7 linked regions of the Bombyx mori genome follow. The protein of the gene in region 6 purifies or fractionates together with the protein of the main gene of each other region. This does not show direct contact. Links are inferred from orthologs where the notes say so. Each region holds a gene or a part of one and is shown on either strand. Other genes may lie near its edges.

Evidence for each region.
Region 1: the proteins of rRNA 2'-O-methyltransferase fibrillarin (region 6) and nucleolar protein dao-5 fractionate together in Homo sapiens (co-fractionation; 3 studies listed by BioGRID, with this or other methods). This does not show direct contact. The link is inferred for Bombyx mori from reciprocal best matches to the Homo sapiens genes FBL and NOLC1.
Region 2: the proteins of rRNA 2'-O-methyltransferase fibrillarin (region 6) and ATP-dependent RNA helicase DDX24 purify together in Homo sapiens (affinity purification with mass spectrometry; 3 studies listed by BioGRID and IntAct, with this or other methods). This does not show direct contact. The link is inferred for Bombyx mori from reciprocal best matches to the Homo sapiens genes FBL and DDX24.
Region 3: the proteins of rRNA 2'-O-methyltransferase fibrillarin (region 6) and mitochondrial matrix protein p33 purify together in Homo sapiens (affinity purification with mass spectrometry; 4 studies listed by BioGRID and IntAct, counting the BioPlex papers as one, with this or other methods). This does not show direct contact. The link is inferred for Bombyx mori from reciprocal best matches to the Homo sapiens genes FBL and C1QBP.
Region 4: the proteins of rRNA 2'-O-methyltransferase fibrillarin (region 6) and RpL7Ae purify together in Homo sapiens (affinity purification with mass spectrometry; 5 studies listed by BioGRID and IntAct, with this or other methods). This does not show direct contact. The link is inferred for Bombyx mori from reciprocal best matches to the Homo sapiens genes FBL and SNU13.
Region 5: the proteins of rRNA 2'-O-methyltransferase fibrillarin (region 6) and U3 small nucleolar RNA-interacting protein 2 purify together in Homo sapiens (affinity purification with mass spectrometry; 3 studies listed by BioGRID and IntAct, counting the BioPlex papers as one, with this or other methods). This does not show direct contact. The link is inferred for Bombyx mori from reciprocal best matches to the Homo sapiens genes FBL and RRP9.
Region 7: the proteins of rRNA 2'-O-methyltransferase fibrillarin (region 6) and DDB1- and CUL4-associated factor 13 purify together in Homo sapiens (affinity purification with western blotting; 3 studies listed by BioGRID, with this or other methods). This does not show direct contact. The link is inferred for Bombyx mori from reciprocal best matches to the Homo sapiens genes FBL and DCAF13.

Annotation. Positions count from the first base shown.
Region 1 is NC_085128.1:10,883,313-10,887,511, reverse strand, and holds the start of nucleolar protein dao-5, read left to right. Parts: upstream 1-1,399; 5' UTR 1,400-1,714; coding exon 1,715-1,822; intron 1,823-2,510; coding exon 2,511-2,590; intron 2,591-3,392; coding exon 3,393-3,522; intron 3,523-3,735; coding exon 3,736-4,199. UniProt on the Homo sapiens protein: Nucleolar protein that acts as a regulator of RNA polymerase I by connecting RNA polymerase I with enzymes responsible for ribosomal processing and modification.
Region 2 is NC_085126.1:10,464,072-10,467,571, forward strand, and holds part of ATP-dependent RNA helicase DDX24, read right to left. Parts: intron 3,269-3,500; coding exon 3,139-3,268; intron 1,876-3,138; coding exon 1,743-1,875; intron 1-1,742. UniProt on the Homo sapiens protein: ATP-dependent RNA helicase that plays a role in various aspects of RNA metabolism including pre-mRNA splicing and is thereby involved in different biological processes such as cell cycle regulation or innate immunity.
Region 3 is NC_085114.1:15,032,574-15,035,177, forward strand, and holds part of mitochondrial matrix protein p33, read right to left. Parts: intron 2,308-2,604; coding exon 2,157-2,307; intron 1,955-2,156; coding exon 1,758-1,954; intron 434-1,757; coding exon 345-433; intron 1-344.
Region 4 is NC_085117.1:6,325,430-6,328,117, reverse strand, and holds RpL7Ae (ribosomal protein L7Ae), read right to left. Parts: upstream 1,375-2,688; 5' UTR 1,170-1,374; coding exon 1,167-1,169; intron 947-1,166; coding exon 557-946; 3' UTR 501-556; downstream 1-500.
Region 5 is NC_085123.1:3,098,102-3,102,188, forward strand, and holds the start of U3 small nucleolar RNA-interacting protein 2, read right to left. Parts: upstream 2,801-4,087; 5' UTR 967-2,800; coding exon 1-966. UniProt on the Homo sapiens protein: Component of a nucleolar small nuclear ribonucleoprotein particle (snoRNP) thought to participate in the processing and modification of pre-ribosomal RNA (pre-rRNA).
Region 6 is NC_085130.1:7,816,901-7,821,069, reverse strand, and holds the start of rRNA 2'-O-methyltransferase fibrillarin, read left to right. Parts: upstream 1-1,369; 5' UTR 1,370-1,553; coding exon 1,554-1,566; intron 1,567-1,972; coding exon 1,973-2,143; intron 2,144-2,537; coding exon 2,538-2,616; intron 2,617-3,339; coding exon 3,340-3,442; intron 3,443-3,888; coding exon 3,889-4,059; intron 4,060-4,169.
Region 7 is NC_085118.1:7,564,351-7,568,300, reverse strand, and holds the start of DDB1- and CUL4-associated factor 13, read left to right. Parts: upstream 1-1,150; 5' UTR 1,151-1,369; coding exon 1,370-1,448; intron 1,449-1,527; coding exon 1,528-2,072; intron 2,073-3,108; coding exon 3,109-3,275; intron 3,276-3,950. UniProt on the Homo sapiens protein: Part of the small subunit (SSU) processome, first precursor of the small eukaryotic ribosomal subunit.

The sequences.
Region 1 (4,199 bases), on a different chromosome or scaffold from region 6:
ACGAGCAACATTTTCTCATTTGTTATTTACTAAGCGCACGACACGCGAAAACAATTACAATTCTAAAATTAATTCCAAAAATAACACTGCCAGCACAAAACGTAGTTATGTATCTACACCATCTACACAATATACAAATGTAGAAATTTTTTATTGACATAAAACAGCCTTATTTTTTTTACTGGCATTGGTAACAGACCTATTGGCCAAAAACAATCCAACACTACAACTTAAGTACCTATGTATACAATGCTACAACGTCTACAGCTTTGAGACGGTCGCTATGATCCTATTGTTCCTAATGGAAGGTAAAATGAACGAGACCCATAGAGCAAAAGACCGATGCCGTATCATTAATAATTACGAAATTAAATTAAATAAGGTAGATCACAGGACACCTTAGGTGTTAGATAAGATGAAATGAAATATTATCTTGATATAGTAAAATCGTAAAAGTTATTCAGAGATTAATAGATTTTTTGAGAGAGCCTTTGAAACAATTTTCAGCGATTTCTTTTCATTTTCTCCCACTTGTATAATCCTAGAAACCAAACGTCTGTCAACCAAATACATATTACATATTTAAACGAGAAGAAACGCTAAATTGACAATACTTAGTGTTAAGATTTTATGTGGAAGATTAAGCAGACTCTGTTTTTTTTATTACAAATTATATTTTATTCACACGACACATCTCATAAGAAGAAAATGTAACCATGGTAACGAGTTAACATTAGTAGTACGGCGACACGCAGCTAGTGCTATACCTCAACACCTAATTCTTATTAAAACCTGGTCTTCTGGATCTTATTAAAAACCCTAAAGCGTAAATAGTTTTCCTTATTTTCCTTACTTAAGCTACAGTATCGGCTTTTCAATAACAATCTATTATCGAATACTATGTAATAAATAATGAAAGTTATATAGTATTAAACAATACCAAAATGATAATAAGTCATGGCAGTAGTTGTATGATAACGGCGCGATGATCATAATGTTTAAATTACCTTAAGAATGATGCACTAATTAAAAATATTGGTCAATTCCAAAACATGTAATTTGAGTTTAAGTGAGTTTTTCATCTCAGGATTTCATTTAAGATCATTCTTTTCACTTCTCCTATAAACAGAAAGATTAGATTAAGAAAACTAAATTCTCATACATTTTTCTCGCACTATTGGATTAGCAAAAGAAACAGTTTGGTTTAACATCGCTGACAAAATGTTTGGTGGGTATGCGACCAGTTGTATGAAATGTTTTATTTTGTTAATTTAGTGTTTCTTAATATTTAAACGTGGAATAGCGGTGGCTTGTTAAGTGTTTAACTTCTATCAAAGCGTATAAATGTGTAACTAATCATCATTTTACTGAATCTTTATTTTATCCCAATTCATTACAGTCTCAGATTTCACCCAGATCGCTTAATTTTATTCATAACATAGCCCCTTATTTAAATTTTTAAAAAAACAAGCATATATGTAAAAGCGTGATACCTTCGCCTTTCCTGTTGGAAAAATGGAAACTCTCTGACATGTGACGACTACGGTACGGTCACTGAAGTAGGTCTATGGATACGGTAGGTACTCTGACCAATAGTAACTCTGACTGACGCGAGTGCATATGACATTTCAAGATAGTTGACGGTGGCGGCGTGGTTTACACTGTTGAAGCCGGAAATAAGGAGATTCACTAAATATTAGACAAAAACTTCAAAATGAATTTAACTACAGAAATTCAAGCGGATGTGAATTCCTTAGTTCACCAGTATTTAGAAAAAATTGACAAATCGCTGGCCCAGACCTTCATGAAGAAAACTAAAGCGGTTAGTATATAAACCACGTGGGGCCTCCACACGTGTTTTTTTTAAATTTTGTGTGTAATTCGGGAGTTAACATGCTGTATTGATCGTTTGCGATTCTGTTTAGAAGATACCCTAATAAAACATTAACTTCGCGCTAAGCATCGCAGTTTTTCTTGGTTGCACGCTACATTGTATCAGCGCCCCACATGCGGCAGCCGGCTTAATTGGTCTCTTGCTGAACGTCATTTATTCCGCAGACATCGGTCCTCTGTTGGATCCTAAATTATTATACTAACATGTATAAAATGCCACCGAATAAAACTATAGAGCAATTCATTTTTAAACATGCCGACGACATTGGTAGACACCTGTTTGCCTCAGAAGATTTCGTGGTGGGTCTGGTACTGGTTTTTATAATAACAGATGTTGACCCTTTTTTAATTCATTGTTAACAACATTACCAGGATCCAACATATATAGTCACACAATTCTAAACTTTCATGGTTGCTGATAGTGAGCACTGATCTGCCCATTTCTGTATTAAAGCAGCCATTTAATTAATGTGGACTAGGTACTGCTGTGTTGTATTTGAGAATACAATGTCTAATGTTAAGGTGGGACGCTACAATAAAATATCTAATTATTTCAGAGTATTAAAAGGTATAAATAACTACAATTTACTAAGTAGCTTGTAAAATTTTTTTTTTAGAAACCACGTGCCAAAAACCAACAGACCCTCTTAGACATCATTGCCAAGTTTAATCAAGGAAATAAAGCAAAAGCTGAAAGGTAAGCCTATTTCCATTGTTACTTTATCATATTGCAGTTATTAGACTGTCATTTAATCTTGTGTAAATTGAATAATAATCTTGTTTAAATTTAGAATTCATCATGGTCTAAAGGATAAGACGCCTGGTGCATTTGTATCAAGCAATGCAAGTGTGCCGGTGTTTGATTCCATAAACAGGTACTATATTTTCTAATGAAATATGTATTTAACATATGCTCATGAATTACTCCCATGATGAAGCAATAATGTGTTTCGGAATAAAGGATGCAGCAGCCATTGTATTGTAAAAACTGAGACCTTAGAACTGTCAAGGTGGGTGGTGGAATTTAAATTGTTGATTTCTATAGGTTCCAGTAACTGTTTCATACCAGATGGACTGTAAGATTATCCAACGATCTAAGCAATAAAAATATTGGACATGATTCATATTATTTTAGTATTTTGTTTTAGTCTTGTTAGAATGTATTGATAAAGTAGTGCTTGCTAAGAATCTATGAGTTTTGGAATATTCTAGATAGTAGTATTGTATTTTTGGCTTCAATTCTCAAAAGTTAAGTAAATATTTTATCCTTCAATTTATAAGTTAGTACAAGTATTTTTAAGGTAAACTGAAAATTATTTAATTTTTGACTCGAAGATTAATGATTTTTAAATATCTTTTTTTTTACCAATATCTTGGGTATCCAACAAAAAATTCAATATATTATAAGTTTTAAAGCACTGATCAGCATATGAGTTTCCTTTTAAAATAAAGAAAACTCAGAATTCAGATTCGATATACAAAATCTGTGGCTAATATAGTTCCAGTGACTCGAGCGAAGAAGATGCCCCTAAGAAACCAACAATTCAAACAAATGGGAAAGTTCCAGCAACTAAGAAAAAAGCTGAAAGTTCAGATTCTGGTAGCTCCGATGATGAGCCACCAAAACAGGTAACAATTTAGTAAATTTTCAGCGTGGAAAATCATAAATAATGTACACTGCTAGTACTTCTTCTTAGATAAACTTCAATGATGTAAACAAGTTTCAATGAACAAATGTGATTTTATAACAATATTCGTCACTACCTCTGAGAATACAATATTTATTTATTTATTTACCTTGATAAAGATATCAACTATATGTGATTTTTATTGCACTTTTAGGCATCTAAGCCCAACCAAGCAGTTAAAAAACTTAACATTACACCAGCTAAGAAACAAGAATCATCAGATGACAGCGACAGTGATGATGATGTTACGTCAAAACCTAAAAAGCAGCCTGTTAAACCAATAAAAACAAATCCAGTACGTCCACCACAAAAAAAAGAGGAATCATCAGATGACGATAGTAGTGATGATGAATCTGAGAAAAAGGTTCCACAAAAATCAGTTGTTACACCTGCCAAACTTCCAGTCAAACAAACTAATTCTAAAACACCTATTAAACAGAAAGAAGAATCTTCTGATGATGACAGTGATGATAGTGAAGATGATAAAAAGAAACCCCCTGTGTCAAAACCTACATTAAAGGCACAGACAAAAAAACAGGAGTCCTCAGATGACAGTGATGATAGCAGTGATGATAACAAATCAAAAAAGAAACCGGCTCCAAAAGCAACTCCAGCTAA
Region 2 (3,500 bases), on a different chromosome or scaffold from region 6:
GTCGTAACTACTGATATGCCGACCTTACTCCACTTTTTCAAACATGGCATCCATTTTATCCGTAATAGGGCGACCAGAGCGACGTGCATCTTTGACATCAAAATTTCCGGATTGAAAACGCTTAAACCAAATTTGTGCTACTCTCACAGACACTGCACTAGGTCCATAAAGATCTCAAATTTTTTTCGCGGCTTGCATTGCTTTTTTACCTTTTTTGTAGTAAAATTTTAAAATGTATCGAATTTCTTCATTAGATTCACTCATCTTGACAGTACGAAAAATAAATAAAAATCACACATTTTCCTAATTTGAATTTGGAATTATCTTCTTTAAAATTTAAACTTTTAATGATACCAAAACCAGCCAGATACAAATAGTATAGCCAAAGAGATTTTATTACAAGTTCATACATGCTATAATGCGAAAAGACTTTTTTCCCAACCTACTATAAACAACAACAACAAAATTGAACAAACAACAACAAATCTAAGACAATGTTCACCGGTGAATTAAAGTTGGAATCCGGGGTATCGCTTACTACCGAGTACCTACCGAGCACTACCGAGTTACGGACCTCGGTCTCGTGTCTCGAGACGGATGCGGCAGCCATGATGTCCATGGGCTCCCGTAGCCATTGAGCAACAGATCATCGTGTGTTTCCAGAGATATTTTGTGCCACGTACCATCCGACTCTAGAATGACCTTCCCTTCTCAATGCTTACGAGCGCTATGATACGCCCTCACCAAATGGGGTTTGCGGAGTTTTATTTTTATTTTTTATTGCTTAGATGGATGGACGAGCTCACAGCCCACCTGGTGTTAAGTGGTTACTGGTGCCCATAGAAATCTACAACGTAAATGCGCCACCCACCTCGAGGTATAAGTTCTAAGGTCTTAGTATAGTTACAACGGCTACCCCACCCTTCAAACCGAAACGCATTACTGCTTCACGGCAGAAATAGGCAGGGCGGTGGTACCCACCCGCGCGGACTCACAAGTGGTCCTACCACCAGTAATTACGCAAATTATAATTTTGCGGGTTTGATTTTTATTACACGATGTTATTCCTTCACCGTGGAAGTCAATCGTGAACATTTGTTGAGTACGTATTTCATTAGAAAAATCGGTACCCGCCTGCGGGATTCGAACACCGGTGCATCGCTACATACGAATGCACCGGACGTCTTATCCTTTAGGCCACGAAGACTTCATTCTCAGTGATAGAGCTGCTGATCAGTATTTTCAAGTGGGCCGTATACGCGTCTGCCTACAAGGGCGTGAAAACTTAAAAAGGACTTTTTGGCGGGAACGCGAGGAGTGAAGTTGTGTGATTTGTTTTATTTTGTGTATTTAGTGTTTCTTCAGGTTTAAATGTGTAATAACGGTGGTTTATTAACTGTTTAATATCTGTGAAAGTGCACAAATGTGGGAAAATGAAACAAAGCCGCTGGACATATCTTCTCGGGATCCTCCAAAAAGTCCACTGAAAAAATCTCAGTAAATGACCACCTTTACTGAGATTATATTTCATCCCATATCACCTCATTTCATTTAATTTCATCCCAGTTGATTAATGTTTCAAATTAATCATCTTCATTTCATTTCATTTCACTCCATATTATCATTTTTCATAAAAATAGGAAAATACATTATAATAAGATATGACTTAAAGGACTTACTTAACAGGTCATACAATCACTTTAAAAAAAAAATGAAAAAAAAATGGCCTTGGTCTAATTCACCTCTGGACGCATCCGATGGAGTTGCAGAACACGATCGTCCTGCCGGGGTGCCTCTTCAGCACGTAGTACAGATACGCATCCTTGTGCTGCACGGAGCACGTGATCCTGCTCTCCGTCAGGGTCTCTGCAGCACCTGTCCCAAGACCATAAGCTGCTTTACTGGTTTCCAGTTCCGTGGTGTCCGACCACGTCTAGTTTAGGGCACGTGGACCACACGATCCCGCAACTAACTCGACGAGAAGACGGTAGTAGTGCAAGAAAAGAATGTTGATCAGTAGACGGTTTTTTTCAACACTGGGGCCTCAAAGCCTTTCCAATTTCACCGGGGCGGCTGTTTTGCTGATTACTTTTCACATTTTCGCAGTGTTTCAGGGTGTTTCGCGAGCACTATGACATGTTCGTCTTCAAACGAGACTTGTGGAGAGTATTTAACGGTAGGCAGCGGCTTGGCTCTGCCCCTGGCATTGCTGAAGTCCTTGAGCAACGGTAACCACTCACCATTAGGTGGGCCGCATGCCCGTCTGCCTACGCAGGCAATATTAAAAAAACCTTGAACTGTTTAAGTTCAAGGAATGCGTTTACCAGGGTCCCTATACGTGCCCCCAGTGCTAAAGCTGCAGGCGTCTAATGACAGTGTCAGTGGGTCGGAAAAATCCTTTTTTTTCCTACCTTAACTGATAGCCTTGAGAGGCTATTTCAACGTAACCTTAACTAGTAGGTGAGCTCACGGGGCTCAAACCTGACGACGTTGCTAACACGGACCCTAGCAAGAGCCGTGCTTCGCAGAATCTACCACCGGATCGGAAACGCGACCCACTGAGAAGATCCGGCGAGAAACTCAGTGGGCCAGTCTACAGTAGGCGCGCGAATTCATGTCCATCCTGAAGAATGCAGTAGTGCTGTGACCTAATTAATTATGGTAATGTCGATAATAACTACCGATTTAGTCAACAGCTTTCAATTTGGTTTAATGTGTAATAACTTAAGGTAATTTTGCAAATTATGAAATAAAATAAATGTGATAAGTAATTACTTATTTATTTCTAATAGAGAAAAATATTTTTTAAATTCCAATTTTATATTCCACTATCAAATGAAAAGACAACTGACAGATCAGAGTCGGAAACAGTATGTATCTTTTTTCAGTAGGTTTTTTTCTATCTGAACTTGTTGGAAGCGGAGTAGTCATGGTTAAATAACACAATAGCGTTAGCGTAAATTTTCGATATCGATAAGCCGCGTCACAACCGTCAGGAGAACACTCGACGTCAGATAAATGGGGGAGGAGGGTGAAGGCGGGGCGAGCTGTCCCCCGCGCGTCGCCTCTGGCCCCGATGGACATGAACTCGCGCGCATACTGTACCTTGACGCTGCGGCACCAGCGGCGTCGGCTTACCCAGGTTTTGCGCGGTGATGTCGACCACCTTGGGGTCGGTCATGCCAATCATTTTGACCAATCTATTGATTTTCTGCTGCGATGTCATCTTGTCCACTTTCCTGTTTAATATCTTCCCTCGCTTTGTCACCTGTTATAGAGAAGGAATCGTAGTAAAAAAAATTACACACCCTTAACTGTCACGTAACTTTAACAGTGTTTTTTTTATTGCTTAGATGAATGGACGGAGCTCACAGCCCACCTGGTGTGAAGTGGTCACTAGAGCCCATGGACATCTACAACGTAAATGCGCCACTCACCATGTGGTATAAGTTTTAGTGAGCTCACCTACTAGTTAAGGTTACGCTGACAGTCACCCAAGA
Region 3 (2,604 bases), on a different chromosome or scaffold from region 6:
AGCTACTTACTAGAAAATACACATAGAGAGGTTGGCTTTCAGATCTTTTTGAGCTGATATAATAATATGTGAAACTAATATCTATACTAATATATCAATCTAGTGGTTTTTACGGATGTTCCGTTATAACTACTGAGCCATGCCGATTGACTTGAAACTTAGTATCCATGTAGAAAATACATGTACTTATATTTATATGAGTGTTGGACTCCCTAATAATAATGACAATAAATAATAATGTTAATTTTAAATCCCAAGCGAAGCGGGCGAGTACGGCTAGTATTATATAAAACCGACAAGATGCTGTATCTTACATACTAAATAAAGATGAATAGATAACATACCCCATCGAGCACATCACCAGCGACTGCATACACTTTGTCATTCCATTCACCCTTATATAGGGTTATTTCGTCAATGCCGAACACATCGTCTGAAAACACAATTTAAAAGTAGTTAAATTATAGTACTTAGTTTCCGTTGAAGTTGAGTTGATTAACTGCAATTACATTAGCCTACTAGCCTCTGAGAACTACTATGACCAAAGCTTACAGCATGGCCGGATCTGAACAAATCTTACGACTTAACATATCTTTTGCGTGAAGTGGAAATTTTCAATCATTTTTGCCCCTATAGAACTATAAAAATTATAATCTGGTATTTTGTATGTGATACCAAATAATTTATATTTGCAAAAAGCTCTGATCTTTTTTGTCTATAATGTGTTGATTCAATGCTAACAATGTCAATAATTGAATTATTTTTGCTTACATAGACTATTTTAATATATTTTCATTTTATTTTCAATAATCAAATTTACAGACAACTACTGTTAGATAAAGGCCTCCTGAAGGTCCAAAACAACCCCCAAAAAATCAAACCCGCAAAATTATAATTTGCATTATTACTGGTGGTAGGACCTCTTGTGAATCATCACGGGTAGGTACCACTACCCTGCCTATTTCTGCCGTGAAGCAGTAATGCGTTTCGGTTTGAATATATACTTGAGACCTTAGAACTTATATCTCAAGGTGGGTGACGCATTTACGTTGTAGATGTCTATGGGCTCCAGTAACCACTTAACACCACGTGGGCTGTGATATCGTCCACCCATCAAAGCAATAAAAAAAAAACATCGACATCATGCTGCTCAGATCTACTGGATTCTTGCTACCTTCACACCTTTAGTACTTCATCTAATACAACAGCAATTTTGATACCCCTATACACAGATCAAAAGTGAATAATGATGACACCTTGATATTTAAGATTGAGGTTATATATTAATTGTATTATGGCAGAAACAAAAAGGGAAAAAAGGAAAGGGGAGGGTGAGTCTTGACACATTCTTGCACTATCACCAAATTCTAAACTGAAATAAACTTTTTTCTTTGTAAATTGTATATCGACACTTGAAAGGCAAATGTGACTAAGCGACAGTGCGTGAACTTTACAGTAGACTAATTTAAAGTTGAAATATTTGAAAACAAAATTTATTTTAATGAATCTAGCTGTAGTAGAATCTAGCTAGTAGCTGTAGGATTGGAATGCTTTTAATAGACCTAGAAATATTTTTTTTTGTGCATTGAATATGGTTATTACCTATCATTTATGTACAAAGCAGTTATTGTCGCTTAGTCACGTTTGTCTTTCAAGCGTCGATATGGTAAACAGACTATTTTGACTTCTTAGTACTCAATCTTTAGACCCATTTGATTAATCAGAATCAAGAAATAATTAAGTTTATGTATACTCACTATATTCATCAGCAGAAGCTGCAGGTGGATCTTGAAGATAGGAGCAGGTGAAACCAAGGGTGGTGTCTCCTCGGACTAGGTCAACCTCAAACTGAGGTTTGGAACGCATCTCAGAGAACTCTTGCTTCTCAGTCTGAACATCACCCTCAAAGTCATCAGAGTCCACAGTGTGATTAACGTTGAATGTGACACGAATTCTGAAAAAAATATATAGTTAGACTTAAAATTTCACTATTTTTAATGATATTTCTGTGGGCTTGTTTCTTTAGTTTTTCGAATTTCAACAAATTGACGAAGATTGCTGGGCAGTAAAATAAGTATTTGGCAACATTTATTAACAACTGTTTCCCCAAAAAAAAATTATTCAATATTTCTCCTTCTCAAGATTTCATTACTTACGTTTCATCTTTAAGCTGCTTTGTTAAAACAACTTCAGCACCGTCTCCCTTTACAGTAAAGCCTTCGACTTCAGCAGGGAGAGACTTGACCTTCTGTGCTTTGCGTTCAGCAACTATTTCTTCTGTCAGGAACTCTACCAGTTCTCTTTCACCTGAATTTATATAAATTGGTTTTATTATGTACATTGAGAATGAAAATAAGTGCAATTTATTCTACAATACTGTAAAACATTCAATAAGTAGGTAATGAATTTTAATCAACAAACAACAAGTTTATAATACACAAACAAGGTATTTTTTTAATTTCTCTCATTTCACTACTATTTTATTAACTACAACAACTACATTAGATTTACATTACTCTTGATTATAATGATGAATAGTAATAACTGCAGATCAACAGAGAAAATCCAACTATACTATTCAACACTATATTTCATTGTGCCTGT
Region 4 (2,688 bases), on a different chromosome or scaffold from region 6:
TGGTTTTATTTAAGGCTTTATGCGATTTGCGATTAAGAATTTAACTTCAATAGAAAGCGGAAAAATCTATATCTTTGCTTATTGACAAAGGCATGTGAACAAAAAAATTGCTACTGCTAAAGAATATTTGTACTTATATAGCGGAAACAAAGCAGACCTCCATTTTTTTATAAACAAATGTAGCTTCTTTTTAGACGACTTGTGCCTTATTTGTTCAGTTAACAGTGTATTTACACCACATAGTGATTGTCATCACCTATATCACGTGAAATTCTCAGTAGATAACATTGTAATTCAGCTGTCCTATACTTCAAATCGAACTGAAAAACCATTTCACTGTACTGTTTGAATAGACACAAGCACTTGTTGATGAAAAGATTATCAGGGAGGATGCCACAATTGTAAAAGTTCATAATTGTAAAGTTCTACTTTTTATGTTTAAATAGCAAAAGATCCTGGTCCTTTTTGTTCCTAAAAGCATCAATAAATAAAATACGTTATTTTATTAAAATATTGTATTCGACACAAAATAATTTCCTTACACGTCTATTTATACTTAAACTAATAGTCTTTCGATTTCTTGCTGAATAGTTTGGATCTGAGGCTTTAGTTGTGAGCCCTCATTGATGGTTATCGAGCAAGATATGATGGGTCTGGAAACACCGCAAGCACGACCGAGTGCTTGCTTAGACCTAACAAACACATATGGCACATTCTTATCTTCGCACAGAATTGGAATGTGAAGAACAATTTCGAGAGGTTCGGCATCTGCTGCCATTATGATGAGCTCAGATAGACCACGATTAAGGGTCTTTGTGGCCTCGTTCGCGCCTTTACGAAGTTGCTTGTAATTGGTAGCTTGTTGCACCAAGTTCAGGATTTTAGCGGTTAAGGCGGCATCCGCCAATGGGTATGCCTTGGGGTTCACTGCAGCTTCGGTTTCAGCCTGTGAAAGTAGATTATTAAAGTTATGAACAGTTTAGATGTTCTAGGTAGTTAGAATGTAATCAATCTCAAGATAACCTCAAATATTCACATGAGTTCAAATTGCAACCGTATTTTGGATATCACATGATTGAAAGTTTCAATTTGAAACTGATTAATGAAAAAACTGACTTATTATAGGTAAATTAATACCAAGAAGATCGCTAACACGTGCAACTTACCATGTTTACAATGCCGCGGTGTTGAATTAATAAAACTCAACCTCTCGGCGATCTCTCGCTTCACTGAGGAAATAATCTTCACGTAAGGGAGAGAAAATTTAGGTATTTGCCACAATTCTACACTTAAATCACAAATATTTTGTGTATAAATATTATTAACGATTCTGATACTGTTGTTTCAAAGACACGCGGGTTGTGGCTTCTTTGACATTTGTTTTTTTGGTTATATTTTTTTTCATTTTAATAATCAGAGGCAACATGAATTATACAGCTTTACATTTTAATAGTATAGGGTAGTCATTTTTTATGTAAAATTAAATGTATGGTGCAGAATAATTTACCCAACGTTTGAAAAAAAAAACAAAATATTTATAACGACTTACTAAATAGTTCAATTACGAGTTTTTTTTCAAATTTCAATTTTATGACTTTTCGTATAGGTACAGTAATGTAGTACTTAGTTCTGTTTCTCCCACTAAAAAGGCGAAGGTATCACATCCTACAGACTAATCTTTTGTAAATGCTGTATTTAAATGAAATTAGTTTAAAGAACAATAATATGGAGCGAAATAAAATGAAGTTGATTAATTTGACATTAATCAATTGGGAAGTAATTAAACGAAACGAGATTATATCGGATGAAATTTAGTCCTAGTAAAATAGTGGTTATTTACTGAGACTATTTCAGGGAACTTTCTGGAAGATCACGAGAAGCTACGTCCAACGGCTTTATTTAATTTTCTCACATGTTGTCTACTTTTACAGATATTAAACTGCTAATAAAGTACTGTTAATACACAATGAAACCTAAAGAAACACTAAATTAACAAAATAAAACAACTCACACAACTACACTCCTCGCGTTCCCGCCAAAGTTTGTTCGTATTTAACGAACTTTTTACTGCTAAGGGTTTGACTGGGTTTTTTTTTAAGGCTTATATAGGTGGACGAGCTCACAGCCCACCTGGTATTAAATGGTTACCGGAGCCCATAGACATCGACAACGTAAATGCGCCTCCCACCTTGAGATATAAGTTCTAAGGTCTCAGAATAGTTACAACGGCTGCCCCACCCTTCAAACCGAAACGCATTACTGCTTCACAGCAAAAATAGGCAGGGTGATTGTACCTACCCGTGCGGACTCACAAGAGGCTCTACTACCAGTAGTGTTGATAAGCTGATACTCTTTGGGTTCACAATACGCGTTATCACCAAAACTGAAGTGGACACTGAAGAGATGACTAAAATGACTCAGAACTCACCTGTCTTTAGGTGGGCACCGAAGCCATAGAAGCTACCAGCGAATAGATCAAATACAATAAATAGAAATCACAATTTTAATGCCAACTTTAAACACGAAATAAAAGTCTATCACCAGTAGAGAGTTGGTGTCTAATCATCCATTTTTTCCAGAAGATTTTGAACAAGTCATCCATCACAAGAGATTCACTAAAAACAGCACTTTAATGTATCTGATTTTTGAAATAACAAGAGTAATTGACCAAACTTGTTCGTGTTATAA
Region 5 (4,087 bases), on a different chromosome or scaffold from region 6:
ATGTTCTTCATCCAAAAGTTTCACTTCATCAAGACTACCTACAGGGCCATTGAATATTAGCTGTGATTCCTCTACTATTTTCCATATTCTAATTGTACTATCCCTGCCACCAGATGTTATTGCTCTCTCCCTTGTCAATGCATCAATGGATGATATTGGAGTTTGATGACCAAAAAGTGTTTCCACATAAGACATTTCATCTAATGACCAAATTTTTACAGAGCGATCTTTACTTGCAGAGTACATGTCATGTGTATTCTTTCTAAAAACTAGACCTATGATAGAATCTTTGTGTCCTTTAAATGTATGTATATGCTTAAAGGTTATTGGGTCCCAAATTTGAATGTTGGATGACTCGTCGGATGATGCGAGATATTTTGAATCTGTTGATATAGCTAAACTAGTAATGCCACCTTTTAAGAAATTCGAGTGGGTTTTATATGTTAATGTACCAACTTTTCTCTTTTCTTTGATACTCCATTTAACAATCGTGCTACATTTACTGCCTGTAAATACTAAGCTACTATCATTACTGATACAAACACATGTGAGAGTAAGTCGATGTTCTTTAGCTCGTATGACTTTGACATCGCTGTCAGTAGGTGCCTGATATTTATCAGCAAGTTCCAATTTAAGTTTCCCTCTCTGTTCAAGATAATCTCTTTGTAAACGTTTTTGGACTGCATCATCGATCTCCTTTTCTTCGGCTCGTTTAGCTTCTTCTTTCTCAATTTCCTCTAAGTATTTTTTAGCTAACCTTAATTTCTTTTCCTCCACTGTCTCATGATCACTTTCAGATTCTTCTGCATCTGAAAATTTCTTTAAATCTAAGTCACTATCGGACGATTCGTGTCCGTTTTCTAGGTTAGGAAGTGTCGATTTCTTCACAGGTTTCTTTTTTATTTTTTCTCCTTTTCTTTTTTGAACTTGTCTAGATTTGCCTTTGAGGAAGAACGAAGACGACATTTCAAAGGTTTTTAATGAACTTTTGATTTAAAAAAAACAACAATATCAAAACACACACTGCTCCTTTCCTGCCGTGTATCTATATTGTGTGTTATCTATGCATTTATCATAAATAATAATAGTTCCGTTTTTACTACAGGAAAGGCGAAGGTGTCGTACCATACAGCATAATCTTTAATTTTCTTTTATGAAAAATATGGAGCTAAATGATATTGATGAAACATGAAGATGATTTACTTGATACTAATGAATTGGGTTGAAAATAAATGAAATAAGATGACATTTGATGAAATGGAGTCTCAGTAAAATGATGGTTACTGAGATTTTTTGGAAGAAACGTCTAGTGGCTTTATTTGACTTTGCTAAGCTTGTGCACTGTCACTGTAGCTAAAAAGTTGTTCATCATCAGCCCACAGTTGTCCACTGCGGTCATAGACCTCTCCTAATCTACACCATTGAGCCCGATCTTGGACTTTCTTCATCCACCTCTTGCCGGCAATCATTCGGAAGTAATCGCACCACCTAATCAAGGGGCGTCCAACGCTACGTTTTCCGTTGTGCGGTCGAGAACCCACCTGCAACAGCGATCGTTCATTATACGTCACAGCTCACGAGGCTCAAACCTGACGACGTTGCTAACACGAACCCTAGCAAGAGCCGTGCTTCGCAGAATCTACCACCGGATCGGAAACGCGACCCACTGAGAAGATCCGGCGAGAAACTCAGTGGGCTGTGTCTGAGGGTTCATTTACTCGTCGAGCCCTTCGTCGCAAGCGACGGTTTCAACGAGAACGGTGACCGGTGCTTGAGGTACCCAAAAGCACCGTTAGTGGATCGGGAGGAACCGAAATGACGTGTTTGGGGCGACGTCGACTGCTTTCCATTATTTCCGCAGGATCGGGAATGTAGTTACCGGCGGCCACGATGAGAGGGTTCTCGTGTCGTGCCTCTTTATCGAAGTGGCGCATCGACGCAGACACTTACTGATGGACTCCAAGTCCAGGTCGTCATGGAGGTCGACGTTCCTGACGAACCACGGGGCTCCGACGGCTATCCTGCAAAAACGGGATTGAATAACTTGGAATGATTATAAGTGAGTGCGGGCCACGTGAGCGAACACTACACTTGCATAGGTCATGACGGGGCGTATGCAAGTTTTCAAGGCCGCTCGCGACACCGCGGTCTTATATAATAACGAATTCCATAATGTTCACTCCAAACACACGAGTATCATTGCCGAATGAAGAAACTAAACTAGTCAAGAGAAGACTAGGCGCATGTAGTCTGGAGGCAGGCATCGCTGCCATTCCGGTGTGACACGGCCCTAAGGTAGCCTACCGTAATACAGATTCTTAGCACACCTTGCTCTATCGTTACCGTGAGTAGGAATCTTGGAACCCGTAGCTTGCGACGAAAGGTTCGGCGAGCAAATTAACCCAGTTTGTCGCCGGATCGCGTTTCCGATCTGGTGGTAGTTTCTGCGAAGGACTGCTCTTGCTAGGACTAGTGTTAGCAAATTCCTCAGGTAACAACAGGTAGAGAATCAATTTAATTACCTCATTAAATTTATATTTGAAGTAAGACACCGCAAGTCTAAATGTCGCTTAATTTCGAAGACAAATATGTGTGTACAATTCTTATTTTCATTTCCTTATATTACTTTTCTCCTTGAATCAAACTTAGACGTTTTTATTATGAAAACAAAGTGTTAAAAAGTTTGTGTGATGACGACAGTGATCAATTTGTTTTTCTGTCCCTAAAGTACGGCTGACATTTTTAGTGACTGGCAGTATCCACCACTTATTTATCAGTTGATATACTATCTTATTTTCAGAGTATATCGACGCTTGAAAGGCAAACATGACTAAGCGACAATAACTGCTTTGTACATAAATGATAGGCAATAACCATATTCGATGCGCAAAAAAATATATTTCTAAGTCTATTAAAATAATTTCAATTTTACAGCTAGATTCGTTAAAATAAATAAAAAATTCAGGTATTTCAACTTTAAATTAGTCTACTGTAAAGTTCACGCATCATCGCTTAGTCATGTTTGCCTTTCAAGCGTCGATATAGTTTGTATTGGAGAGATAAATAAAAGTCATTTACATAGTTATTATTTTATTTGACAAAAAAACCTACGACAAAATCCTGTAGCTGATCCATGTGTGACGATCTTCTCTTCTAAATACATTGAAAGCAAAAGATGCTTGCTACAAACCTTTTACAGCAAGTCATGCTCAAACTACAAGTTTAAAGGCAATGCACACAAAGGAGGGCAGGGGGTTACCGATAAGAACCTAGACGAGCTCGAAACAGCATAGAAGACTGCAACAGCATACAGGCCAGCGAGCAGCACCGGCCTGTTAAACAAATGCAAATGTTAGTGCAGTCTGTGCTCCAACAACATACAGCCTCTGGGTTTGTTTCTGATGCATTATTGTTCCGATTACTACTAGAAATCTGTGCACACATTTTACTTACTATATCAACTCTTTTGCATCAATATTGTTGATATAAAGTTTGTTTATCATAGGAATAAAGATCTTTTATATACTTACATTTTATATTTTTTTTATTTTTTTTGTAATGCTATATATAGCAACGTGTCATTAATTTTGTACAAAATGCATGTGTCGGTTGGGCAATAAATACAAAGATTTACTCATAACTTTGATACTGCAATTACGGCAATTCCGCGTCTGTCAGCAAACAGCGCACACAACCCCCTCCCCGCACACAGCAACGCTCCACGCGCTCACCTCACGCCCTGAGCATACCAATTCATCAGTTAATCTTGAAGTAATTAAATTTACATACGTAAGAATTCTACATAATACAATCCTGAGTATTAGGTTGGGTCATATTACATTAGTATTAATAGTTATATGCAAATTATTTTTACACTCAGATACATCTTCAACAACCCAGTACTCAATTATTAGCATTTTTAAGTATTAGGGACATTGTTTTATGAAATTTTATCATTACCAAAATTGGAGTTCACAAATTAATGCCCAAGTTAGCCCAAATAATCCTTGTAGTGGTTTAGTCTTCCAGATTGTTTTATGAACCTGAAATAATATCTAACCGCTCCCACATCACATCTAATATTGTA
Region 6 (4,169 bases):
CATTTGAGACGTCAATATTTATCTGATAAATTCGTTTTCAAATCCCTACAAATTCAAAATAATCACATTATTACCAAACTTAAAACTTTAAATGAACTCATAGAATCCTCTTCATTTTGGAAACATAAACAGTTACCATGTTTAATAATTAGCTACAGAAAATATTTGTCTATTCAAACTCCAACTCATCACTCTCATATTTTCCCTCTATTTTGTGTAAACTATATGGCATTGATTTTAAAACCGGATATTCATCTTGACATGGGTGTTTCTAAGTATCAACCCCAACCAAATACTAACTTTAATTTTGTAATAGACCAAGATTGGAATGATTATAACCATATATATACAGATGCTTCCAAACACCCTCAAGGTTGTGTTGGTGTAGGAGTCTATCATTCGCAATCAAAAATAGTTGAAAAGATAAAATTACCATCTGAAACATCAGTGTTCACTGGTGAATGTTTTGGAATATACAAGGCCATAGAATACATTTTGATATTCAAACTAAAGAAAACTTTAATACTAACCGATTCAAAGAGTGCTTTACAGGCTCTTGCAAAATTTCCTTTTAAATCTCAACCGATTTACCCTATTCTCTTAGACTGTAGAAACCTGTTAATGAAATGTATGGATCAAAATCTTATAGTATCATTTGTATGGATACCTAGCCATTGCGGAATTAAAGGAAATGAAATAGTTGATAGAATTGCAAACGAGGCTATCAATTGTGGTGATATTTATTATTTCAAAAATTATAGTCATGATTTAGTTAGTCTCCCTAAAACATATTTGAATAATGCTTGGAGTGCACAGTGGTATAATGGCGTTAAAGCAAAATATTACCGAAGGGTACAACCAACCATTCCTTCCAAACCATGGTTCTACAAATATAATTTTAAACGCCACGAGACTTCCAGTTTGATACGGATGAGATTAGGCCACACGTGTAGTCCGGCACATCTAGCGACGATCGGAGTGCTGGATAGCAGTAAGTGTGAATGCGGTGCGGACATTGGCGATTTAAATCACATTATTCTTTCATGTCCCCTTTTTGATCATTCACTTCTTTATAGTTCTTTATCATCACTTAGTATTCCTTTTCCTATATCTGTACCTTATTTATTACATACAGTAGACCCAGTTATTTATAAAATTATTATCTTGTTCCTCAACAGTTTTAACCTAAAATTATAATTATATATATTATTTATTCTTCCTAATTATATTAATCCTAATCCAATTTTCCTGCCTAAACCTTATCTAACTTATATTTTCTGATTTGATTTTTGCTTCCTAACCTTTATTTTGAAAGTGGCAAATAACACTTGGTGTTGGGTCCAAAAAGAAAAAAAAAAAAAAAAAATCTATGATTACTCTTTTATCTGGCTTGGCAACATCGGCCATTTGAAATGGTCTCATTTCCGGAAGAGGTAGCGCGGCGGCATAGCTCCGCTAGCGTTTTTAAGTTTAATAACTTTAAAGTTGTACCTGGGTAGTTCTAAAGTAGATAAGTTAATTGTGAATTGATGTGAATTGGTTTTACTCTAAGAATGGGCAAACCTGGTAAGTTAATACTTTTTTAATAATATTGTCCGTTAATACCACGTGTGGTTACCGCGTGTACTCGTCCTCGCGTTATGCAGTTTAAGAATGAAATTGTGTAATTTACAAGTTTTCCAAGTACCAATACTGAAATATATCCTGAAAATAAGTTTTAAAAGACCAAAAAACACTATAGAAGAAACTTTTCGAAAATTGCCACTTATTTTCATTCAGATGTAGTAAACTACGCATTAATGTAATTTTTTTAACCATTAGTTATGAATTTTAATAAACAAATTTTAACCAAATTGACCTGGTAACTAAACTGTTACCAATACAAATGCCAGTCTTTTGAGGTTATACGTTCGGCACCACGTTGCGCCGATGCCCGATAATTACAAAGTGTATGTAATTATTTTTTGTCTAGAATTTAATGGCGGTCGCGGAGGAGGCGGCGGTCGCGGCGGTTTCCGTGGAGGTCGCGGCGGTGGCGGAGGCCGAGGTGGCTTCGGTGGCGGCCGTGGAGGCGGCGGTGGCGGCAAGTTCGAGAAGAGAGGCGGAGGCGGGGGCCGTGGCTTCGGAGGTAGAGGTGGTGGAGGTAAGATATTACTTCGATAACCTACTAAAGTGACACCACCACGTGTCAAACATAATTAATTCCCATGAGAGTAAATAATAGTAAAGTGAAATAGATTTTGCTCAATATAATAAGTACCTTTTCGTTATAAAAATAACTTAATGTATATTTTAATATCTAGTTATTTTGATAAAGAAAAGGTGAGCTACTACAAATGCCTATAATAAATTTAGTAAACCATTTAGTTTTCTATTCACATTTATTTCACTAATCAATATGATGATCAAACGGTCCCTCTAATCTCGACCTATTCGTGAAGACTATGATACCACATACCCACTTCTGATTGAACAGCCACTGTGATTTATTACAAAATGTTATGGTAATATTTTATTGAGGAGTTGGTTTGTTTTAGGCCGTGGTCGTGGTCGTGGTGGTCCCCCGAGCAGGGGAGGCTTCAAAGGCGGAAAACAAGTCATAATTGAACCACACAGGTTTGTATTAGTTGATTAAAAATATTGATGCAAATTCATGAAGAGATTCCTTCAAATAACTCTTCTCTTGCTACAACATCATACTAATTTACAAGTAAAATATTTATAATTGAGAGAAAATATTTCAATTATACTCTAGTTGTTATTGGCATACTTATTGCAATTGTCTTTTTTGATCTTGGGCATCTATGTGGTTACTCGTTTGGTAATAGCTATAACATATGTGAAACTTGATATAACTGGAACCCAAGGATAGTTGGCTGAACATATATGCCTTCAAGTGACTTTTCTACATTACATCGTAATACTAATTTATAAGTAATATACGTATAATTGAGAGAAAATATTTCAATTATACTCTAGTTGTTATCGGCATGCTTATTACAATTGTCTTTTTTTATTATGGGTATCTACATGGTTACTCATTTTGTAATAGCTATAACATATACGGAACCTGAATTAATTGGAACTCATATTGACAGTTGGCAGAATATATTTAAACCACTTGTTTAGCATAAGATCAATTGATCAAAAGAGGATCTACAATACAGATTAAAAGGGTTGTTATAATAAGAATTTTTTTAAATGATGTTTACAAACAATAACTTTCGTTCTTCTGAAAGCGAACGCTTGAAGCTAAATTTTGTTTCTGATTATTTATCCTTGGTCAATCGCAACTGACATTAAAAAAAACTTTGTTCAAAGTTTTGGTTTTTTTTTTAGGCATCCAGGAGTATTCATAGCTAGGGGCAAAGAAGATGCGTTGGTCACTAAAAATCTAGTGCCAGGATCAGAAGTTTATGGTGAAAAGAGAATATCAGTTGAGGTTAGTAAAAATAAGTAGAGTTTGTTATACTGAATTGGGTGTAGTATAAAGATCTGTAACAAATTTCATCCAGTTTAAATTTACGTATGTTGTTTGAATGAACTTTTCAATGCAAAGAAACCATTTCATAATAGTTTTGATTGACTGTAGTACCATTTAACACAATTATATTTCAATAGCTTTCATGTTTGACAATTGATGGCTTAGTAATCTGATTTCATGAAATGATAAATCCATGATTAATCTGTATTTTTCAATGCTTTGTGTAAAGAGTATTCATTAACTTTGCATCATTACATTACATTCAAATGATGATTATGGTCCCTCTAATCTAGACCTATCCATGAAGACTATGTCCACATACCCACTACTGATTGATACAAAAAATACTAAAATATGTTTTGTCTTACCAAAGGAACTCCACTAACCGCTCTGGGCAATTTCAGAACGAAGGTGATAAGGTGGAGTACAGAGTCTGGAATCCGTTCAGATCGAAATTGGCAGCTGCAATTATGGGTGGAGTGGATGCTATACACATGGCCCCTGGGTCAAGAGTTTTGTATCTCGGAGCTGCCAGTGGAACAACAGTCAGTCATGTCTCGGATGTTGTGGGACCAGTAAGTTTAAATACGTCACGAAGTTTTTTTTTTATTACTTAGATGGGTGGACGAGCTCACAGCCCACCCGGTGTTAAGTGGTTACTGGAGCGCATATACATCTACAACGT
Region 7 (3,950 bases), on a different chromosome or scaffold from region 6:
CCCTCACTCCGCCTACCATGGAGTTCGTGTTCAACAGATTCACGTTGCGCTTGTGTAGTGTTTGTGAATAAGCGCGTCGCGTGACGTCACACTGCATGCGCATCATGAAAAGTCTGCCCATCTCTCTCTCGCGCGGTCTAGCTTATGAGTGTGAAGAGGACAGTTAAGGTTTTGCTTTTATTAATGTTTAATATAGCGTGGTCTTGTTTTATGGTTTTAATATTAAATTATCATTGTCTAATTATAATTGCATAAGTTGATAAAAAATGATATGCAATAGCTTTACCGCGGCAGTTCCTGAGTACCACAGGTTTTTTGAAGTTATACTTCTTTAGGCGCGTTACGAAAAATGCGCGCGCACCGTGACACAAAATTAACAGAAATGAAGTTGCCCACTAAAGAAAAAATGCTACAAACAAAACAAAAATGGAACCTCTGTTAGTGGCGCATGTTGGCACGAACGCCGCCTCTGTTCATTGTGTATTTATATTTATAATATTTATCCACATGCTTTGAGTTTCTACATTTAAAACACGTGTTTTCATTTTGTTTTCATTATACAACTGCGAATTTTATATGTGCGTCTGAATGATAATCAGAAGTGATTTAAATTGAATATTTAAATCAATACTAATTAATATTATAAAATGTTTGCGAAAAAGCTGTGCTCATCAACCTTCCTAAGTGCTCTAATACAATTGAGGTTAACTATCCCTATGTATTATTTAGTAATATAAATGACAACATTATTATTTAATATAATTCATACTAAATATTATTAAATTATTAACGTTAAATATTTATTATTAATTATATAATATTTAAAAAATAAAAATAAAAATAAAGTATAACTTCTTACGCACGTACATAAGTACACGCATCCTTTTTTTATTTAATTCCGACCATTTTCATATTTATCTACCTTTTAAACCTTCTCTGGACTTCCACAAATGATTCAAGACCAAAATTAGCCAAATCGGTCCAGCCGTTTGCTAGTTTTAGCGAGACTAACGAACAGCAATTCATTTTTATATATATAGAAGAAGAAGATAGATAGATACATTACTTAGAAAAAAACTTAATGTAGGTATATACTATGTTCCTTTCGCCTGTATCAATGAACAAAAACGCTGACATTGACACTTAAAATAAACAACAGTCAAAGTCACAACACACATGGCATTTCTATGAAAGAGTACGGTACGGTACTTAATACTTGCCTGTTTTAGAATTTAATATTATGTGTTATTACTGATTTTAATGTTAAAAACAATATTGTTTTGTTACATACACAGTCTTAGTTTTATTTGTAATCTGCTGTTAATTTTTCGGAATTAATATTTATGTCTGTTTACTAGTTCAAATTAAGATGTCTAACGTAAAAATTAAAGTTATAAGTCGTAACCCAGAAGATTATTTGCGCGCTACGAAACGAGATATTCAGAAAAGTAAGTTAACTGCTCAAAAGTGTCTCATTGATAAAATATTATAATCTGTATATTTTAACAGTTAAAGGCTAATTTCCAGTACCTCGCAACTATGACCCGAGCTTGCATCCACTAGAAGCACCCCGTGAATATGTGCGTGCTTTGAATGCTGTAAAATTAGAGAGGGTATTTGCCAAGCCCTTTATTGGTTGTTTAGATGGTCACAGAGATGGGGTTTCTACTATGGCCAAGCATCCTAGCCAACTAGCAGTTCTAGCTAGTGGAGCATTTGATGGTGAAGTACGTATTTGGGACTTAACTGTACGGAAGTGTACAAGAAATTTTGTTGCTCATGAGGGATGGGTGAGAGCTTTATGTTACAATCCAGATGGAAAGCATTTTATGAGTGTTGGTGATGATAAAACTATTAAAACGTGGAAAGCTGAAGCTGTCACAGAGGAAGATGAGGAACCCACTAATACGTTGCTAAGCATGTCAGTGGTGTCTGGTATAACACATCATAGAAACAAACCAATCTTTGCCACCTGTGGTGAACAATGTCAACTGTGGGAGAACACAAGAAATGAACCGATTAAAGTTTTTAAATGGGGCGTAGATAGCTTACATCATGTTTCATTTAACCAGGTATGTTTGTCAATGAACATTTTTTAAAAATGTTTTTATTGTTAAATTTTTTATTTAAAATTTTAATTATTTTTATTTTACTGGTGGTAGGACCTCTTATGAGTCCGCATAGGTAAGTACCACCACTCTGCTTATTTTGCCGTGAAACAGTAATGGGTCTCAGTTTGAAGGGTGGGGCAGCCGTTGTAACTATACTGAGAGCTTAAAACTCATATCTCAAGGTGGGTGGCAGCATTTATGTTGTAGATGTCTATGGGCTCTGCTAATCATTTAACACCAGATGGGCTGTGAGCAGCACACACATCGTCCACACATCTATGCAATAAAAAAAATACATATAGCATTAATTAGTGCTGCATATGCACTAGAATTAAAGTGTTAGTATGTAGCAGTTAGTGGTCCCACCTTGAGATATTGATATGATTGAACTCTCAATTACAATATATCTTACCCTTCTATTATGGTTATTAATAGAAATATTCAACAATAGCTATGTATGTTGATAATTTTTGAACCAGCCTATGCCATAATAACCTTGTTTTTCAACAAAGCTATACTTTCTGGTTTGACAGTACTTAAAATAGATTTATAGAAATGAATAGAGGAAGCCTTGTATATGAGTCGTCTATTATCAAAGGTGGCAATCTGTGCATTTAGACAAAAAAAATTTATTGATATGTCAATACAGATTGATTTGAATATAATCGTCTCCTTCAAAGAATACGGTTCAAAACCTGCATTAAATAAAGGTTAATACTTAACCTGTTATTTATCTAAGATGTCGTTCAGAAGAGTTTTGTGACTGCCAATGGAATACAAAGTCAATAATTCGTTTTTCTGATTTACCAATAATTGTACAAAAGTCACATTGCCGGCTTTGATAATAGTCGACTCATATATATCTGGTAAGAATATTATTGCAGTGAATGCATTACAAGTCAGACAATAATAGGAATAATTCAAGGTTGGGAAGACAGGGTCACGGGGAACACAGGGCTTGATATGATGTCAAAAAGGAAATTCTGTATTATTTCAGGTTGAATACAATTTGTTGGCTTCTTGTGCTAGTGACAGAAGTATTATTTTATATGACTGCCGTGAATCTGGTCCTCTGAGGAAAGTTGTATTGGAGTTACGATCCAATGCACTCTCCTGGAACCCTATGGAAGCATTCATCTTTACAGTAGCTAATGAAGACTATAAGTTAGTTTATATTTTTATTAATTTGCAATCAATATGTATGAACCAGTTAAGCATTCATAGCCATTGAATTCAAACTAAAGTATATATGACCAAGAGTATGTAATGTTTGTGTAAATGGCAATATTGTGTTTTTTTTCTGTAAACCCTATATATAGAGTATACAGAAAAAAACTGATAAATGTTCTGAACATAATATAAAGAACTATATCTATAGAACATTTAACAGATTGGAACACTTAATTTACCTAGCTGATCCAAACTGGTTAAAATTCCTGAGTTATGTGTATTTTGGCTTCTCTGTAGAAGTTATAGTCATAAATAATTGTGGTATCTGGTTTAATATTAATCAAAATCTCTGTTAATCGATGATAATTAAAATTTACTGATTATCTAATACTTAACATCCTGACTGCTCAATTCTCAGAGTGACAAAAGTGGTTTTTAGAAGTCTTTAAAGATGCCATCAAAGCATTATCCCATTACTAGATTTGAACTGTCCAGGGCTAACAAGATTGGGGACAATACAAGTTTTAACTGTTGTGTACTGATATATGCAAATGTGGGTACACTAGAATAATTAGCTTGACACCAGCAACCTGTAGATGTTTTTCATGGTCACACCAGTAGATAATAATGTGTACATATAATTTTACATTATGCATGTTACTTACAGAA